2 linked regions of the Daphnia pulex genome follow. The protein of the gene in region 1 purifies or fractionates together with the protein of each later gene. This does not show direct contact. Links are inferred from orthologs where the notes say so. Each region holds a gene or a part of one and is shown in the gene's direction. Other genes may lie near its edges.

Region 1 (3,953 bases):
AAAATCCTCACATTCAACTTCGACGTGGCATCCCAGTAGAAACATGTAAAACAAAGAATTCATGGAAAGTACGGCTAGGCTTGCTTATGTGGGATAATGACGAAATAATATTAATAGAACCACGAGGATGAAAATGTTTTTTTTTTTTGTAGTTTGTTAAATGCCTAAAACACTCCAAAATTAATTCCAACTAAATATTTTCCTTTAAAAAACTGTAAGTAAGAAAAAATGGAGGAAGACTCTGAAACTTCTCTTTGGCAAATAGCCTAAGACTTACAACATAGCTGTTGCAAATAACACAGTTGATAACCTTCTTCTAGATTTAAAGATGGAAATCTGGAAAGTCGATTTCAATGACAAGTTTTAATATCTTTCATCTGCACAGGTAACTACATACCTAACAAAGTAACAATGAATGTTTTTCTAAACTTTTAGGGACAAATAATAATTCCTTAATTTCATGAAAATCTATTTGAGCCAGACGATATTAGGAATGCAATCAAAACCACTAGATTCCTCGTTACAAGTCTACAACAACCATAACAAAACAATAAGGTTGAACAAGATAACTCGAATACTACTGATCATGACTCCATAACACAAACAACAAATAATTCTTTTGAATAGCATTTAGTCTATGTTTTACTGTGAAGGATTTTAAGTCTTTCTGTAGCTGACACTTTGTCTCTAGACTTTCGATTCTTTAGACTATTTTATATCGAATACGTCGAAAACCGATTGGCACACGATAAAACATTGAATGTTTGACGAATTCTTACTTGGAGATTCCGTTGTCCTTGTAAAGAAGTTGGCAGGAGGAGATTCGCAGTAGATAAAACCACTATTTTTCAAATATGTCTGAACGATGAGAACGTAGTTGATGTTGTTGGTTGATGGAATGATGGGTCAACACAACAACTACTTGTCTGCTTCCGTATCGATAGACTGCTCGATTATTTTTTAGTTGTCTGCTTCGGTCTGCTTACTTTCAACAAAATTTCTAAATTTGAAACTTTTTAATATTCTGTTACAATCATAGTTTATTTTTATGCAGTTTTTTCAATAAATTAAAAATTAATCTCATCTAGAAAAATCGTTATTTTCCATTCACAACAACCAAAATGGCAAAATGCTTTTTAGAAAATTTTTCTCTTAGGGTGCTGCCAGGGACCTCTAACGGCGGCCATGTAAACAAGTGAGAAAACGTTTGTTTACAAAGTGATTGCTTGGTAACGAGAGTACTTTCAAAAAAACATATACAGATGGATAATTAAACGACAAATAATCATGCACCTTAACACCGAAAAGGTATTCAGGCCCGTAAAGTTTATGTCTTGTTCGTGAAATTAATTTCTTCCCTTATCTATCAGTTGATATTGAGTTTGAAGGCCCCTGTCGGCGTTGGAACCGTAAAATTAGAATGGCAAACACACGATGGTACTCTCTGGGCAGCTACTGGCTCAAACCGCACCGTACATATATATGACCACTTTGGAAACCAAAAATCTGTGATCACAATGCCTGGGTATAGCTACTGGAACCACATGGTTTGATTTTATTGCTCACAAATACTTTTATTGTTGACAGGTCCTGCACAGGATTTGGCTGGGATTGTGAGGGTGACTTCTTTGCAGCTATTAATGATAGCAGCTCCTTTCTTTACATGTGGAACTCAACTAGCCTTAAAACTGAGAAGATTGAAACTGGTTTGAGAGATCCACTCAGTTTCATGGCTTGGGGCAAAAGTGGTCTTTTCCTAGCAATTGGTACATCAAAGGGAAATGTTCTTTTATACAATCAAAGGGCTGGACGGAAAATTCCAGTTCTAGGAAAACATAGCAAGCGAATTGTAACAGGAGCATGGAGTTCAGACAATCTCCTGGCTCTGGGATCTGAAGATAAAACTCTATCAGTTAGTACCTTGGAAGGTGACACTGTCCACACAGCTAGCCTAAGAAATGAGCCCTCTCAAATCCAGTTTTCTGAAATGAAAGAAGATGAACGTTCAACAGCAGAGAGCACGGTATTGAATGCGATCTAATTTCTGAACAAGAAGAAACCCGCTTCATATTATTATTTTTTTTTTTTTTGCCATTGTATAGATCAGTGCTGTGGTGGGTCGTCGCACGTTAATTCTAATCAACATTAATAACGCAGAAAACCCGTTAGAATTAGCTTTTCAGCAAAATTATGGTAACATCACAACATATCGATGGTTTGGTGACGGATATATTCTGATCGGTTTTTCCGGAGGATACTGCATCGCAATTTCCACCCATTTGAAGGAGATAGGACAAGAACTCTTTCAGATACGGAACCATCGAGACATGGTCTCATCTATATCTATCTGTCCGTCACTAAATCGGGCTGCTTGTTCTGGTGATAACAAGTAATAATAACATATACGTAGCATTAATTCAAAGACCTCAAATAATTTGTTTGCTGATTTTTCTTGTTGAAACAGTGCCAGAATTTACGATTTACTTGATTTAAAAGAAACTGTGTCAGTCATTTCTGTTGAAGAAGAGAATCGAATTGATTGCTGTGCGTGGAGTAATGACGGTCGTCTTCTGGCCATCACAGGTACTATATTAGCTTCTTCAATCTTTCTGCTGCTATGTAATACTGTGATAGTGCATGTTTATATTACATGGCAACATGTAACAGTATTCAATTTAACCTACCTACCCTACCTAACAACCCTTTGGTTAATTAAATTTCCATAGGTAGTTCCGGTAACGTCTACATCTACCTTACTCGTCTGAATATGCTAGCATCGGTTTGGCAGCCTTTCGGCACTATTGCTGTACTCACCAGTCTTAAAGAGGTAGGATCTAAAATATGAATAGTCTGTTATAACTCACTGTTACACTACATTTTGCGTGTGACTGCCGTATTTCTCAATTCAGGTGACTGTGTACGACGTTGCACTTAATACCATCTGCAATGTGCAGTGTGAGTTGGAGCCTGTATTTTTGGCCTGTGGTCCGAAAGCCATTGTACTTGGGTAAACTTATATTATCTAATAAATCATAGTTATAATACTAATTAGAAAACTATTGATCATGATATAGTTTGAACAATCACGTCTGGCTTTACTCTGCGGTCAATGGTCATTTACAACGGAAGTTGCAGTATGCGGGCTCGGTCGAATCGATTTGTTTAAATGAAACACACGTTGCGGCCTTGGTAGATGGCAAAGTTCATTTGCAGCTTGTGAGTTTTCCCCATTAAATTCCATTTCAAATTATTTTATAACTAGTTTTTAATCCATTATTAGATAGAAGAAGCTTCTTTTTCGAGTGACGGAGGAAATGGTCTGATGGATAGCGGTGTATTTCCCTTGCGTGAATCCTCTACAGCCAAGATCGGGAGTCATGCGTTGGCTAAGGATTGTCTCGTCTACGTTACAAGCGTAAGATAATCTAAAAGTGGTCACTTTATTTATTATCTCACCACAATTGCAACGGAAATATAAGGTGGGCGATTTGGTGTACTTTTCGCTGAGTGAGCGGAAACCTGTCAGTGAATATCGCCATGCAGTTGGTTGGAAAAAGATCTATCATGATACATCAGGAACACTTCTAGCCGCTGTGGATATAAAAAATCACGGCTACCTTTACTCTCCGGTATCGGGAAAATGACAAAAACCGCCTCATCTACTTGTCTACTTACACTTGTTTTTATCACTTAGGTCAAGGAAATTTTGTTAAGGATTCCCGATTTCCCAGTTCATCATCGTGGCTTACTTTGGGAGTCGGCAAGTCGGATTAGTCACGTGTTTGTGGCTTGGAGTGACGAGAAGCTTGACGTCTTTGTCTATCACGCCGAGAGACTTACTGGTTTGTTTTTAAAAAAAGATATAATTTTTAAAAATTGATGCGTTGCTATTCTTACACCCATGCACTTTGTTCACTCTAAAGGGAGTTGCATCATACGACTTTGTTCTTCAC
Region 2 (3,516 bases), on another chromosome or scaffold:
ATGAAAAATCTAAAATTGAAAGACCAGGAGGCAATCAGTCACCAGTATGGGCCTTGTGCTGGAACATCAACAGGTACATATTATTTATATAATGCTAATTTAATTCCCTCTCGTCATTTAAAAACAATCTCTTTTGGTAGGACTGACCAAGCAGAAATGCTTTGTGTCACGGATTGGGGTAACAGAACGTTATCCTTCCACCTCCCCAACGGAAAACAAGTATGAGTATATCAGATATCATTGTTTCAACAAGTGCTTTCCTCTAAAAATTTAATGTTATTGTATGAATTTACTAGATCCGTTCGGAGAAACCTTTGGGTTTCAACGCTTGCCGAATAGTTCCTTATCGTCACGCTGGTGGTGACTATCTGCTTGTCTGTGGATCCAACCGACAGTGTCAGCTCTTTAGTAGCGAAGGATATGCTCTTGGTCCCATAGCTGAGTGTAGCAAGTGGGTCTGGGCGACGGCAACCAAACAAAACAGCACAGTTGTGGTAAGCCATTCAAAATTTTGACATATTAAAATTTTTAAACGTTAAAATTCTTATCCGTTGCTTGTAGGCCGTTGGCAGTGAAGACGGAACAGTCGGTTGTCACCAGCTGATATTTAGCACCGTTCACGGTCTCTATAAAGAACGCTACGCATTCAGGTATTGCTAAATAAGGATCGTGTGAATGGGCTTAATTTACAATGCCGTTTTACTTTGTTATTTCGAAAAATAGAGAACATCTGACAGACGTGGTAGTCCACCACTTACTGACGGAGGAAAAAGTGCGCATCTGTTGCCGTGACCTTATCAAGAAAATCGCCATCTACAAAAATCGCTTAGCGGTATGTCGTGCAATGGCAGGAATATGTGACCGGATGATGATGTCTTGTTATTGTTGGATTCTTCTAGGTCCAGCTGCAAGAAAAACTCATGATTTACGAGCAACAGGAAGGCGAACAGCTGCACTATGTCATCAAGGAAAAAATCAGCCAGAATTTCGAATGCAGCCTTATGGTCATTTGTACCAACCACATCATTCTGTGTCACGTAAATCTTTTATATGATTTTCTTTGCAAAATTTTTATCTAACGTATCACATCTGTCTGGTATTTTGTTTTGTTTCGTTCAGGAAAAGAAACTGCAGTCGGTGAACTTTCAGGGCGTCAAGGAACGCGAGTGGACGTTAGATTCACCCGTGCGCTACATAAAAATCGTCGGCGGACCGGCCAACAAAGAGGGTCTCCTGCTAGGCTTGAAGAATGGCCAGGTGTCCAAAATATTTTTAGATAACCCTTTCCCGGTGGAGTTGCTCAAGATCAGTGTCCCTATCCGCTGCCTGGACTTGAGCTCTTCACGCCAAAAGGTGGCCATTGTAGATGACAACAATACCTGCTCCGTCTATCAATTGAGCAACAGTGAATTGATTTCTCAGGTAGTTCCAAAACTTTTTCCCAGATTACAACAGAATAATAACCTAAATTGTGAATGTAGGAGCCACATGCTAATAGCGTCGCTTGGAACATTCATTGCGAAGATATGCTTTGCTTTTCGGGTCAGAACTGGTTGAACATCAAAGCATCGAATTTTCCCTGTCACCAGCAAAAGTTTCAAGGCTACGTCGTGGGATTCTACGGCGCCAAAATATTTTGCTTGCAGGGATACAGCATGACCACCCTTCAGGTGCCTCTATCAGCACCAATGTACCAGTATCTTGACCGTAAGCTCTACCGCGAAGCTTACGAAGTGGCTTGTATGGGCGTGACGGAGGCCGACTGGTCACAGCTGGCACACGAGTCGGTCAATGCGCTGGAACTGGACATTGCCACACAAGCGTTCCAACGTATCCAGGACTACAAATACCTGGAGCTGATGGAATCTATCGCCAATCAGAAGCGGCTGGGAGGACCACAGGCCAATATCAACCACAATGTCTTTATCGGCGACATCCTTGCGTGGCAGGGAAAGTTCAACGAGGCGGCTCGCTTGTACCGCAAGTGCGGCCGTAGCGACAAGGCGGTGGCTCTCTTCACCGATTTGCGCCTTTTCGATCAAGCCCAGGAGTATCTCAGCGGAGACAGTACGACCGAACGGATGAACATCCTGAAAAAACGGGCGGATTGGGCGCAAGATATTCACGACCCGCGAGCCGCTGCAGAAATGTACCTGAATGCTGGTGAAATTCTCAAAGCTGTTGAGATTATCGCTGCCAACGGATGGACATCCATGTGAGTCGATTAGTAAAAATCAGTTTTGAAATTATCCAGGACTAAAAAATGTTCTAAATGTTGTACAGGCTTGTAGACGCGTCTCGAAGACTGGACGCAACGGACCAAGCGTCAACGTTACGCATCATTGCAGACCATCTTCGTCGATTGGGATCAGTCCAGCTGGCTTGTGACATCCTACGGCGTCTTGGTGATACGACTGCTCTGGCTGCCGCTTTGGTTGAGTGTGGCGCTTGGACTGAAGCTCTGGCACTCGCCAAGCAGCATCCTGATATCAGTCGAAATGTTTACCTACCTTATGCTCGTTGGCTGGCCGAACAGGAGCAATTTATCGAAGCTCAACAAGGTGAAACATTTTGAGTTTCAAAGAAAAATGAAGAGGTTTGTCTTACAATTTTTGCTTTTTCAGCTTATTACGAAGCGGGGTGTTTGGAGGAAGCGGAGCGAGTTCTCAACACACTAGCGATGAACGCCGTGGCGTTAAACAAATACGAAGACGCCTCACATTTCTTCTGGCTCTTCGCCAAACATCGGCTCCAGTTGGCCGCTAAAGCGTTAGTTATTTGTCTTATTTCCATTTCTACAAAAACTGTCTGAATGAAAAAAACAATAATGATAATCAACCTTAATGAACAGGGAAGTGTCAAACGAAGCACTGAAGCACGTTACTCAGTTTCACGCTTTAGAACGCAAGAGTTCGGCATATTATGCTTATCAAGCAATCCATCGCTTCACGGTAATTATCTTTGCTTCTAAATTAGTACGGAACAAAAAGTGAAGTTTTCAAGTCTTTTTTTAATTATTTTTTTTTAGAATGAGCCTTTCACTTCCAGCTTGCCGGAAGCGTTATTTAACATGGCGCGTTATCTTCTTCACGAAACACTCCACGTAATTGATTCATAGAAAATCTGAACCGTAGAATGAATGATTACGTTTTTTGTGATTATAGGGTCCATTAACTGGCATCAGTCAATTTGCAGTGGTTTATTCGTTGATGAAACACGCCAAGACGTTAGGCGCATACAAGACGGCGAAGCATGCTGTGACGTTGCTGCAGAATCTGAAGATACCTGTTCAGTTTCAGGAGAGTGTCGACTTGGCGGTGTTAAGTATCCGCGCCCAACCGTACCAAGACGCAGAGGACCTTCTTCCTCTTTGTTACCGATGCTCCATGAGCAATCCGCTTTATAATCCGCGTGGAAACTGCTGCATTCATTGTGGCGAAAATTTCATCTTTTCTTTCATTTCTTTCGGTAAAATTCTACTTTAGCGTTTTTCTTGGAAACCCAAACTTGACTTTA

Evidence for each region. The genes of interacting proteins can lie anywhere in the genome.
Region 2: the proteins of WD repeat-containing protein 19-like (region 1) and intraflagellar transport protein 122 homolog purify together in Homo sapiens (affinity purification with mass spectrometry; 4 studies listed by BioGRID and IntAct, counting the BioPlex papers as one, with this or other methods). This does not show direct contact. The link is inferred for Daphnia pulex from reciprocal best matches to the Homo sapiens genes WDR19 and IFT122.

What each region holds. Positions count from the first base shown.
Region 1 is NC_060017.1:218,450-222,402, reverse strand, and holds the start of WD repeat-containing protein 19-like, read left to right. Parts: upstream 1-1,148; 5' UTR 1,149-1,287; coding exon 1,288-1,308; intron 1,309-1,370; coding exon 1,371-1,525; intron 1,526-1,587; coding exon 1,588-2,023; intron 2,024-2,102; coding exon 2,103-2,389; intron 2,390-2,464; coding exon 2,465-2,583; intron 2,584-2,726; coding exon 2,727-2,827; intron 2,828-2,909; coding exon 2,910-3,007; intron 3,008-3,074; coding exon 3,075-3,216; intron 3,217-3,280; coding exon 3,281-3,415; intron 3,416-3,479; coding exon 3,480-3,629; intron 3,630-3,694; coding exon 3,695-3,842; intron 3,843-3,923; coding exon 3,924-3,953. UniProt on the Homo sapiens protein: As component of the IFT complex A (IFT-A), a complex required for retrograde ciliary transport and entry into cilia of G protein-coupled receptors (GPCRs), it is involved in cilia function and/or assembly.
Region 2 is NC_060023.1:2,443,493-2,447,008, reverse strand, and holds part of intraflagellar transport protein 122 homolog, read left to right. Parts: coding exon 1-73; intron 74-140; coding exon 141-219; intron 220-296; coding exon 297-494; intron 495-561; coding exon 562-650; intron 651-723; coding exon 724-832; intron 833-899; coding exon 900-1,037; intron 1,038-1,119; coding exon 1,120-1,422; intron 1,423-1,481; coding exon 1,482-2,215; intron 2,216-2,283; coding exon 2,284-2,561; intron 2,562-2,624; coding exon 2,625-2,769; intron 2,770-2,851; coding exon 2,852-2,951; intron 2,952-3,028; coding exon 3,029-3,103; intron 3,104-3,164; coding exon 3,165-3,468; intron 3,469-3,516. UniProt on the Homo sapiens protein: As a component of the IFT complex A (IFT-A), a complex required for retrograde ciliary transport and entry into cilia of G protein-coupled receptors (GPCRs), it is required in ciliogenesis and ciliary protein trafficking.